2 linked regions of the Coturnix japonica genome follow. The main gene of each other region encodes a partner of the protein of the gene in region 2 in a complex. Links are inferred from orthologs where the notes say so. Each region holds a gene or a part of one and is shown on either strand. Other genes may lie near its edges.

What was found.
Region 1: the proteins of PRIM2 (region 2) and PRIM1 are in contact, whole or in part, in a crystal structure (PDB 5EXR), measured with the Homo sapiens proteins. The link is inferred for Coturnix japonica from reciprocal best matches to the Homo sapiens genes PRIM2 and PRIM1. Residues at the interface, in NP_000938.2 of Homo sapiens: Glu165, Ala168, Ser169, Pro171, Ser172, Phe188, Ala189, Leu192, Phe195, Arg196, Gly197, Arg198, Val200, Tyr201, Leu202, Glu203, Asp204, Gly205, Phe206; in NP_000937.1 of Homo sapiens: Lys147, Glu148, Asp149, Phe150, Gly151, Phe152, Ala180, Val181, Gly184, Ile185, Glu187, Tyr188, Ser190, Leu191, Lys193, Lys207, Ile208, His209, Pro210, Ile212, Arg213.

The regions. Positions count from the first base shown.
Region 1 is NC_029544.1:1,685,452-1,691,278, reverse strand, and holds the start of PRIM1 (DNA primase small subunit), read right to left. Parts: upstream 3,775-5,827; 5' UTR 3,500-3,774; coding exon 3,397-3,499; intron 3,284-3,396; coding exon 3,126-3,283; intron 3,043-3,125; coding exon 2,936-3,042; intron 2,768-2,935; coding exon 2,694-2,767; intron 2,556-2,693; coding exon 2,419-2,555; intron 2,351-2,418; coding exon 2,292-2,350; intron 1,837-2,291; coding exon 1,727-1,836; intron 1,611-1,726; coding exon 1,519-1,610; intron 1,449-1,518; coding exon 1,304-1,448; intron 1,159-1,303; coding exon 1,089-1,158; intron 990-1,088; coding exon 904-989; intron 166-903; coding exon 67-165; intron 1-66. Other genes in the region: retinol dehydrogenase 16-like, read left to right, coding at 4,036-4,348, 4,419-4,677, 4,966-5,129, 5,246-5,463. UniProt on the Homo sapiens protein: Catalytic subunit of the DNA primase complex and component of the DNA polymerase alpha complex (also known as the alpha DNA polymerase-primase complex - primosome/replisome) which play an essential role in the initiation of DNA synthesis.
Region 2 is NC_029518.1:79,160,428-79,166,278, reverse strand, and holds the start of PRIM2 (DNA primase large subunit), read left to right. Parts: upstream 1-2,136; coding exon 2,137-2,290; intron 2,291-3,150; coding exon 3,151-3,254; intron 3,255-3,531; coding exon 3,532-3,611; intron 3,612-5,851. UniProt on the Homo sapiens protein: Regulatory subunit of the DNA primase complex and component of the DNA polymerase alpha complex (also known as the alpha DNA polymerase-primase complex) which play an essential role in the initiation of DNA synthesis.

The sequences.
Region 1 (5,827 bases), on a different chromosome or scaffold from region 2:
AATGGGGTTTAATGGAGGATCCGATGATGGAGGAGCAGCTGGACGTGGAGCCCCCCCAGCTCTCACCGTTCCTCCGCAGCCGCTGCCCGCGACGCTCACGCTCCATCTCCTCCAGGAACTGCTCGAAGGTTTTTACGTAGGGAGCCAGCTGGGTCCGACGGTAATCTGAATGGGGGGGGATGGGAGATGGGACTGAACCCACCCCCATCAACTTTTCCCAACCCACCCCCCCCACAGTCCTTAAAACCCACCCCCCAGCATTAACCCACCTCCCCAACCCTTAACCCCCCCCCAGCCTTAACCGCCCCCCCCCAAGCTATCAACCCACCCCCCCCATTCATTAAGCCCACCTCCCCAACCCTAACCCCACCCCCAAACCCTTAACCCACCCCCTCACCATTAACCCACCCCCACAGCCCTTAACCCACCCCCCCCAGCCATTAATCCACCACCCAGCCTATTTAAACCCACCTCCACAGCCCTTAACTCACCCCCCCCAGCTCTCTAACCCACCCCCCCAACCCTTAAACCACCCCTTCCAGCCCTTTAACCCCCAGCCACCAGCCCTTAACCCCCCAGCCATCAACCCAACCCCCACAACCCTTAACCACCCCCACAACCATTTTACATTAACCACCCCCCCCAGGCCTTAACCCACCCCCCCAGCATTAACCCACCCCCACAAGCCCTTAACCCACCTCCCCAGCCACTAACTCACCCCCACAGCCATTAACTCACCCCCCCACAACCCTTAACCACCCCCCAACCATTAACATTAACCCACCAACCCTTAACCACCTCTCCAGCCATTAATCCACCCCCCCACAACCCTTAACCCCGCCCCCAGCCCTTAACCCACCTCCCCCAGCCATTAACATTAACCCACCCCTCTGCCCCACTCACCCCTCACTCTCCTCTTCGGCTCCGTCTCCTCTCCATCCTCCTGCTCTGCATCATCACCGGCTGCATCCAGCTCCTGGCACAGCGAGCTGCATGGAAGGACAATGCAGGACATGGTGGGGGGGGGCTGCTCATAATAGGGGCTACCCACAACCAGGGCTCCCCCCACACCGACCCCATGTACCGACCTGATGGTGGGCACTGAGAATGGGTCGAACTCATCCAACCTCTGCAGGTCCAGCGGCACCGAGATGCGACCTACAAGGGACAGAGATAGGGGAAGGTGAAGAGAGGTGCTGCATGGGGTGCCCATAGCAGGGTGCTGACCCCACAACCAGCTGCACCCCCCCCATTTTGGGGTACCCGCCTGCTTTGGGGTACCCCCCTGTTTTAGGGTACCCACCTGTTTTGGGGTGGACACTAAAGGGGCTCTTCAGGAGGTGCCCGATGCCTTTGCTGACGTTGATGTCGAGCCGTGGGAAGCAATACTGCAGCATGATCTCCCAGTCTGCATAACACGCCGTGCCCTTCCCGCTGCCCGCAGCCCGCTGTGGGTACAGGTAGTCAAGGGGCAGCACGGCCCCATAGCTGCCCCATAGCTGCCCCATAGCCACTCACCCGCGTCCTCTCCATGCGGCCCTTGAGCAGCTCCCAGCGCTGCCCCGAGTCACGTTTCTTGGGGAACTCAGTGTGCAGCAGCTCCCGGTGCTCTGCGGGGCTGTTAAGGGCCATCACAGCCAACACAACCCCCCCCTGAGCCCAGCAGATGGAAGGATAGAAGGAGAGAAGGAGAGAAGGAGAGAAGGAGAGAAGGATAGAAGGATACCGTCTGGAACCAGAGCAAGCACTTTGTCCCAGCGCTCGGGGCTGCCCAGGATGTCCTGGCCCTGCAGTGCATACGCCTCGAAGTATTTCTCCACCACGTTCACTGAGCGTCTGAGGAGCAGATGGAGAAGCTCAGAACCCCATAACCATCAGCTCAACACCCCATAACCATCAGCTCAGCACCCCATAACCATCAGCTCAACACCCCATAACCATCAGCACAACACCCCATAACCATCAGCACAACACCCCATAACCATCAGCACAGCACCCCACAACCATCAGCTCAGCACCCCACAACCATCAGCACAGCACCCCATAACCATCAGCTCAGCACCCCACAACCATCAGCTCAGCACCNAACCATCAGCTCAGCACCCCACAACCATCAGCTCAGCACCCCACAACCATCAGTTCAGCACCCCACAACCATCAGCACAGCACCCCACAACCATCAGCTCAACACCCCATAACCATCAGCACAGCACCCCACAACCATCAGCTCAGCACCCCACAACCATCAGCACAACACCAGGCAGAGCACCCCCATCCCCATCCCCACCCACCTGATGAATGGATGCACAGGCTCTGACAGATTCACCTTCTTCACCGTCTCAGCTCCACCCTGTTAATGTCAGATTGTTCAGCCCAACCAGGTGGGCAACACAACCCCCCCCCCCTCCATACACCCACCTTGACCAGGCTCAGATACTCCACAGCAGCAGCTCTCAGAGCTGGGGACCATTTACGTACGGCGTCATCACAGACCCAGCAGTGGACACCTCTCCTTCCTGAGTACACCCACAGCCGGTGCTTCATGCCCAGGTCCTCTATGGGGCACAGTGGGGCTGGGGGAGCACTCCAGGCACTCCAGCCCCATAGCAGTGCTCCCCCAGACCCATTTGAAGGCATCACAATGGACAGCAGGGTCTGGATACGTGCTCAATGCACATCCCTGCATCCCTCACCCACGAGTGCACGGTCGATCACACGGACAGCGATGGTCATCAGAGTCCAACACTTGGAGCAGATATCAGCCGAGCTGTGGGCAGAGCACAGCGGTCAGATGGGTGCCAAGCATCCCCCCCCACGGCCAACTGGGCTCTATGGGGCTGCAACCCCCCCCATCCCATCCCCAACCCCCCCCATGGCTAACGGGGCCCTATGGGGCTACAACCCCCCCCTCCCCATCCCAAACCCCCCCAGGGACCTGCAGCACGTCCGGACATCATCATAGTCGGTCATATCGATATCAAACACCAGCTCCTTCTCCACGGGTTGGAACGCCCCGAGGTGCACCGTGTTGTGCTGGTTGGGCTGCGGGGAGCACAAGGGGTCACATCCCGCAGCCACCGGGGGGTTTAGGGGTGGAAGAAGGGGAGTGGGGGGGGGATACGAACGCGATGCGAATATACGGCCCCGATGTCGATCTTATAGGGGTTGGTCCTTTGCAGCTCCTTCTCCAGCTCCTGCGGGCTGCAGAACGACTGGAACCGCACGTAAACGTCGTCCCGCAGCGTGAAGGAGAACTCCCGAAGCTGGAAATAGTTCTTCTCCACTGCGGGGATGCGGAGAGGGTCGGGTTGGGGGGGTTGGGGGGATTGGGGGGGTTGGGGGGGATGTAGACCCCACCGATTCGCCGTCCCGACCCCGCCCGGTCCCTTCGCTCACCGCCGCCGTAGCCGAGCCAGCGGCCGTAAGCGCCGTGTGGGAAGAGCCGTCGGTAGAACACCGGGAGAAGCTCCGGTAACGCAGCCGGTTCGAACGGCGCCATGACGGGAAGCGGAGGGAAACGGCGGGACCGAAAGAAACCGAGTGGTCGCTGGGAGATGTAGTGCGACCCCTCCCGGAACGGAGCTGAACCGCTCCGACAGCGCCGGCCGTCGGGGAACCGGAGCGGGTTAACGGGGACCCCCGGGGGGGCTCAGCACCGGCACCGACCCCGTCCCTGCTTTGAACAGCGGCCGAGTCCCGGGAGCGGAGCCCCTGAGACCCCCCATAAGTTGGGTGGTGGTTCGAGGGCAGCTCAGCCCCGTGCCAACGAGGGGCGGCTTTGCCAACGAGCCGAGGGGCCACGGATGGGGATTGAAATCACGGGACGTGGGAGGACGGGCTGAGCCGCTGCCCGGCCCCGTATTCAGATGTGTTGGCACTGACACACACCGGCCCCGAGGAGTTGGGCCGGTCCAAGGTCGGCACGGGCCGGAGCCAGAGCTCAGGGCTGCGCTTTGTGCCGTGTCCACGCGAGTCCCGGCCGCCTCCACGTCCCGTTCCTCCTCCTCGTCGTGCTCCTCCTGCTGCCGCCCCACCATGTGGCTGTGGCTGCTGGCGCTGCTGGGGCTGTGGCTGCTGCGGCGTTGGAACCTGGAGCGGCAGACGGTGGGCGGCCTGGACGAGAAGTTCGTGCTGATCACGGGCTGCGATTCGGGCTTTGGCAGCCTGCTGGCACGGCAGCTGGACGCGAGGGGGCTGCGGGTGCTGGCGGGCTGCCTGAGCGAGGCCGGGGCCGCGAGGCTGCGGGCGGCCGCCTCGTCTCGCCTGCAGACCGTCCTGCTGGACGTCACGTCCAGCGACAGCATCGCCGCCGCCGCCGCGTGGGTGCGGGAGCGAGTGGGGGACAGAGGTAGGAGGGGGTCGGGGTGTGGGGAGTGGGCGCCCAGCGGGGGTCTCGGCTCATCCCGGCCCTATTGCAGGGCTGTGGGGGCTGGTGAACAACGCCGGCATCGCCGTCCCCTCCGCCCCCAACGAGTGGCTGAGGAAGGAAGACTTCGTGGCGGTGCTGAACGTCAACCTGGTGGGGCTGATCGAGGTGACTCTCAGCCTCCTGCCGCTGATCAAGAGGGCGAGGGGCCGCGTGGTCAACGTGGCCAGCGTGGTGGGCCGGCTGTCCATCTTCGGGGGCGGCTACTGCCCGTCCAAGTTCGGCGTGGAGGCGTTTTCCGACAGTCTGCGGTGAGTCCTGCTCCCCCCTGCTCTGCCTGGCAGCGTTATGGGGCTGGTCGGACCCCGCTACTCGGACCTTGCCCCGCTGTGTGTCCCATGGAGCGGCTCCAATGTTTGCTCTGACCCCATCCCGTCCCACTGCGGTCAGTGTTTGCTCGTGCACCATCCCAGCCTCATGCTGGGCTGCTCGTGGTGCCCTCTGTGGTTGGGTTTCCCTGCTGTGCCCCATAGCGAGGCCGTCCCCACTCAGCCCACCCCCCTTTGCTGCTCCCATCCCATTGCATCGCTGCCTTCCAGGCTTGAGATGAGGCACTTCGGGGTGAAGGTGAGCATCATCGAGCCGGGTTACTTCAAAACAGCCATCACCGGTTCTGCAGAACTAGAGAAGAGCCTCCTCAGAGCCTGGGAGAGGATGCCCAGTGAAACCAAAGCCAGTTATGGGGATAAATACCTACAGGACTGTGAGTGCATCCCCAAAGCTCACCCAGCATCTCAGTGCTGAGCTGCACCGGGACCCAGCGGGGCCTCTCGGTCCCTTTGGCACAATCTCAGCTCCTGTCCCTCCCTCTGCCCCCAGTCCTGGCAAATATGAGGGAGATGATGAAGAAATGCAACCCCAACCTGTCGCTGGTGACGGGCTGCATGGAGCACGCACTGACCAGCCGCTACCCGCGCTGCCGCTATGCAGCTGGTTGGGATGCCAAGCTGATCTACATCCCTCTCAGCTACTTTCCCTCTGCCATCACCGACGCCTTGTTCACCTGGACCTCCCCCAAACCTGCCCAGAGAGTGTGAGGCCGTGAGGGCAGAGCTGGCATCGCCCCACACCTGAGATCCCACGGCAGCAAGCAAAGCGCTGCACTTTGCACTGGCAATGTTTGCTGCTGAATAAAGCTGACCTCTTCCCTGCATGGTGTGGTTGAGCCCTGCCCCTTCCCTCTGCAGCGCACTGAGGCTGTGCCCATGGGGGAGCAGTGGGCACAGTGCTGCCAAGCCCCCACCCTATACATGCCCCCTTTGCCATCCCTTGGAGCTGGGGGCAACCAGGTGAATGGGGTCCCAGTGCCGCTGTGCAGCTCTCAGCCCCATCGCTGCTGCTCTGCCCTCACCCAGCATCACCGCATCCTTCCCATGCAATGCAGCCAGCCCTGCAGTGCTG
Region 2 (5,851 bases):
TGTAAAGAAGTGTTTCCTGATCTCCAACATAAACTTACCCTGGCACAACTCGAAGCCATTTCCCATTGTCCTGTTATCAGTGAGAAGAGACCAACCCCACTATCACTGTAAGCAACTTTCAGGTATTGGAAGAAAGCAATAAGGTCTCCCCTCAGCCTCCTTTTCCCCAGACTAAACAGCCCCAGTTCCTTCAGTCTTTCCTCATATGGCATATTCTCCAGGCCCTTCACAAGCCTTGTTGCCCTTCTTTGGACCTACTCCAGCATCTCAGTGTTCGTTTTGTACTGAGGTGCCCAAAACTGAACACAGTACTTGGGGTGAGGCCTCACCAATGCTGAGTACAGGGGCAGGATGACTTCCCTAGTCCTGCTCACCACACCATTTCTGATACAAGCCAGGATGCCATTGGCTTTCTTGGCCACCTGGGCACGCTGCTGGCTCATATTCAGCCGACTGTCCATTAGTACACCGAAGACTCTTTCCATCAGGCAGCTTTCCAGCCACTCCTCCCCACGCCTGTAGGGTTGCCTGGGGTTCTTGTGACCAATGAGGTGCTGCACTTGGAGCGTGGGGGAAATCCTAGATCTTTATAGGAACTGAGGGAAGGTCTCCTTGAGAGCAGCCCTGTGGAGAAGAACTTTGTGGTTCTGGTGGACAAGAAGCTGGACATGAGCCAGCAGTGTTTGCTTGCAGCCCAGCGACTGACTGTGGCTCTGGGTAGCGAGGTCTAGTGGTTGGTGACCCTGCACATAGTAGAGGGGTTGATCATTGTGGTCCCTTTCAACCCAGGCCATTCTTTGATTCATTGTATGATTTCTTGGGAAGTACCCTGAAAGATGATGCTAAGGGACTGAAAATAAGATATATAACAGAATATAGAGCTGGTAAGTGTGTTTACCATAGCAGCCTAAGCATACTGAATACGCATGCAGGGAGAAGGCAACCTGTCAGAATTACTTTAGGATGACAGTGAGATGTATCTAGATTTCCTCCACCTGTGTGCTAGAGTTTTGGATGGGCAATGTGGGGATACAATCCTTTAACCTAAAGCCCTGATGAGTGATTTAAAATGTCACAACGGATGCAACCATCATTACTCCCTACTTTAATATATTAACACTGAGAGACCAAGAATGTATTCTGACTAAAATAGCCCCTTGAGCCTCTCTTCAGTTCATGATTCATGCTTTGCTCACTTTGGAACATGAAGGAGTTTAAAGGCCAGCTCAGTACATTTCCCATTTATTTATAGTTAACACAAAGGTATCTGCTTATCACAGTCAGAAGAAAAAATATCTTAGTGTAACTTGAATGGCAGATATTTTACGAAGTAGAAAATAACTGGGCTCCCAAGAATTAGCAGTGCTGTGGACACTGCTAATTGGTATAACAACAGGGGAACAGATAACATTCAATCATGTTTACTGCAAAACAAGGGCTTTGTTGTTCTGTTATTTCGGTAGCACAACAGTAGGAGTTTGAGGTATGCTGGATTGGACTGTGCTTAGTTGGGGCTGTGGGGACAGTTTGACAGCTGGCCATATGGATGTTGTAAAACATTTGTCAGGTGGGTAGTTGGAACACCAGCGTTTCTGCTAACAAACACTTCTAAAATCAGAGTCTGCTGGTAACGTTGCTGTGGAAATGATGAAAATAGAAAGGGAAAAAAGTAAGTAAAATGGTATTGTGAGAACTATTGCTGTGTATAGGTTTTGATTTGGTAAGTCAGTAGGAAAGTTTGGGTTATGACACCTACTGAGTTGTGGTGTTTTCCCCCACGGAGATACCTATCCCCTACTTTGTTTCCACTTCCCAAGAGAAGGATTTCTGCGTGAAGGAGCTGGCAGCCCCCTCACAAGGTATTGCATGGTGAGATTTGAGTCAGGTAATAGAGGCTCCCCGCTGCAGGTGCTGAGAGAACTACCATAGAGTGCCTTTGGCGGCTAGAGAGCCCACAGCCGACATGTTGTTTGTGGGTAAAAGCGGGGCGGAAATTAGCGAGCAGGAAGCAGGCGGGGCGACCGCTGCGCGGGAAGCCGGAGCGGGTCCTGGTGTTGGCTTGGGGCTGGTGGGATCTTGTGTGACCCTTCAGCCCCGTCCCTCAGCCCTTTTCGTTTTCTTCGGTCCGCTCTGCAGATGGAGTTCAGCAGCAGAGCGCGGCAGCGGCACCTGAGGCTGGCGGGGGACAAGCGGGAGCCGTACCCCCACAGCCTGCAGTTCTACCAGGAGCCCCCCACCGAGACCATCTCTCTGAACGAGTTCGAGAGCTTCGCTGTCGACCGCCTGAGGCGTGAGTAGTGTGAGCTCTGAGCGATTTCACAGTTCAACTGAAGTGCATACAAATCGCTATTATGTGGTATTGGGTTATAGCCTTGTTTTTCAGGGTCTCTGGATGCCTCTCTTGGATGTCTCTGTGCAGGCACTGAGGTCATGGCTGGGAGCAGTGCCCCCAAAGAGCCACAGAATGCAGGTCTCTGTCCCTGCAGTGCAGCTGGATGCTCTGGGGCTGATCTTTCTCCCTGCTCTGCTCCCTGCCTGGATTTTAGGGCTGGGCGAGCTGTCAGGTTGGACTGACATAGTAGGCGTGGTGTTGATGGGTTGGTGTTTGGACTAGATGATCTCAGTGTTCTCTTCCAACCTGAATGATTCTGTGATAGGTCCTGTGGGCTATGGATGAGTTGGGCCATGCTTTGTCTTTCTAAATTCTTATCCTTTTACTCCTGATACTGCTAACAGGAGTTTGCATGGCCTTTATTTAGTCCTTTTTTCAAGTCATGATAGAGTTAGCTTCCTTTTCAATATGTTATCATAGAATTATAGAATGGCTTGGGTTGGAAGGGACCTTTAAGATCCTCTAGTTCCAACCTCCTGCTATAGGAAGGGACACTTCCCTCTAGACCAGGTTGCTCAAAGCCCCTAGCACTGAATGCTTCCAGGGAGGGGGCATCCACAGCCTCTCTGGGCAACCCGTTCCTGTGTCTCACCATCTTCACAGTAAAGAATTTCCTCCTAATATCTAGTCTGAATCTACCCTCTTCCAGTTTAAAGTCATTTCCCTTCATCCCTTCACTACCTGCATATTGTGACTATATGGACTACAACTAACTGTGTTCTAACTATATGAACTATGTTTTTTTTTTTTCTCCTCAGTGCTCAAGGTAGTTGAAAACCTTGGTGTGAGCTATGTAAAAAGTGGTGATGCGTACAAAAGTAAGCTGGAGGCTGAGCTCCGGAAACTTAAGTTTCCCTACAGAGTAAGTATAAATAGAAACAAGCAGCTATTTCTTTTGCACTCTATTTTCTGTACACTGTTCAGAAATTCTGCACAAATTACTATTCCTAAAGCTTGTATTCTGGCAGCTTGTCTTTAACTTAAACTTTGTCTTTAAAAATACATGTTTATTTTGGGCAGTCTGCCTCTTTAATAGTCCTGTGTTTGAGGTTATAGATATAAGTATTGATATGATGTGAAACAGCAGTGGTGGATAAACTGTGGATTTCTAATCTAATTTCTAATAACATTTTCTGTAGGCTTTGGCTGAAGATGATTATGATGCAAGAAGAAAGGACCATATTTCTCATTTCATACTGCGCCTTGCTTACTGTCAGTCGTAAGTACTTTTTGGATTACTTTTTGGTCTTGTTACTAAGTTTAAGTGTATGTGTGTATACATATTGTTATAGATTGCATAGGGCTGTATCTGTATGGCTACTAAACAGAAAGGTAGTTCAAGTAGAGGTTTACTTTTCTGGAAAGCTGATTTCAACTGTGATGATAAGAGATATTCAGGATCAGAATTAATATCCACATTATATAGTTTTTTTAGTCTTATAATATAGAAACTGTTGATTGTACATATGGAGTATTGATAAAAGTCACTTTCTTTATTTTCAAGAAAGAAATCAAAAGGCAGCCAGTTTTGTCAGTCATTGATTTATCTGATTACAGAGAATTTAAATGAACTGCTCCATATATTTCAGCTGTTGCTTACTTGACCAAATGACCTGAGTAAGCTGGTTATGTGAATAGGCTTTATGGTGCTATCTAAAGAGAGCCTTATTTCTCAGAAACCAAAAATACTGAATCTGAGGTTTTCTCCACTGCTTGTTATTTTCTTCTAAAGTAATTGATTTTTACATTTTTATTTGTTTATTTATTTTGTCATGTGAAATCTAAGGCACGTAGTTTGTCAAGTGCTTTCGTTCTGTTTCTGCAATAGGCTCTGGGTGAAGTTGTACAGGTTGTCAGTGCCTTATGTCTATTAACAGCTTTGTTGTGCATCATCCTGACTCCTTGCCATTGCAGTCCTGTTTTATAGTTAAAACTAGTGAGTGTGTGTTCTCTCTTGAGAAGTGGCTATTTCTGAAATGAAATATTTGAAATGAAATATTACTCTCTAAAGCCAGATGTTCTCCAAAAGATAAATTTGTGAGTCAAATACCCAGTTCTGCAGGGTTTTATTGTATTAGGTCAGAAAAAATTTGCACAAATTGCTACACTAGGTGATGAAAGCAACTAAGATAGCAATCTTTGAAAAGTCTGCTTAACATAGCTGTGAAGTTGCTTGATTTCAGTTCCTGGTTGCTTGGCAGAGGGGGTGTTGACAGGCCTGTTCTGCTATGCCTAAGTTTCTAGCAGTCCAACAGTGCCACCCAGTGGTGCAAGTCTTCATCATCTTTTTTCTGCATCAGACCTCTGATAATGTGGATTTTGCTTTGTACTGGTTTGTACATGGGCAAAATGGCATGAAGTGATCAGCTGCACCTTGTTTGGGCTGGTAATAGAGTCATAGCCTTTCACTGTCCTTCTGCCTTCTGAAATCCAAGGCTTTAAAACTTACTCTTGTGTAACATTCCTAAGGTAGGATTTGTGCAGTCTTGAGTGAACAGGTTCATCCTTACCCTTCATTCATACCTCTAATGTCACTTAAATCCAGCAAGACCAGGAAACAGAATTATCTTGCACAGCTATAAAGAGAACTTAGTTTTGTATGCTGGCCATGACAATGCATTTCTGCTTCTGAACTTCAGAAGTGTGAGGGCATAAACTTCATGTTACTTGTTTAACACGGAAGAGAATATCTTTGCCTTTTCTCTAATAGTGAAAATCTTTTCAAACACTTTTGTGCTTACTGAAAGTTTACTTTTTATATTCTGTCACACAACATAAACACAAGCTATTAAATGCAGGCCTTTCCTCTACCTTCTGCAATCTTTTGGTTTTGGCTGCCTAGCAAGATAGGATTCTGGCCCATGCTCTGACTTCACACCTTGACTGAAGGGGTCAGTAACTGAGCTGACATTTAATTGTGGAAGGTGATCTGTGCTATCTTTAGGAGCATTTTGAAGTCTTCCTAAAGTACTTGCATCTGTTACGAAGTGAAATATACATCTCTTTTTCTAACGCTTCTTGTGGGATGAGTAGGGTTTTCTTTTTATGTGTATGTAAGAGTTACTTTTTCATACTAAATTAGACCATCAGATTCCCAAACAGAAAACTGAGTATTCCATTCCAAGAGCTGGGAGCTGTTCCTCGCTTCTGTACTTCAGCTACCAGTAACTGCAGCAGCTCACTTAGTCATCTGATCAGCAGCGCTGCTTTTCACTTAAGTTTGTGGCTTTAGTAATAAATGTTATTGCTTATGTGTTTCTGTAGTGAGAACGTGTGTTTCTCCAAATGTTAGTACAGAGTGTAAGTCATTTGGGTTTGGAAATGCAGTACAGTCTTTCTCTGATATGAGGAGAGGATTAATGCCTTAATGAGGTTTCCATGAGTGTTAATTTTGAAGTGTGTGCTTTGTAGGTACAGCACTGCTACTCATGTAAGCAGTCTCGTAAGCCAGTCTGTCAG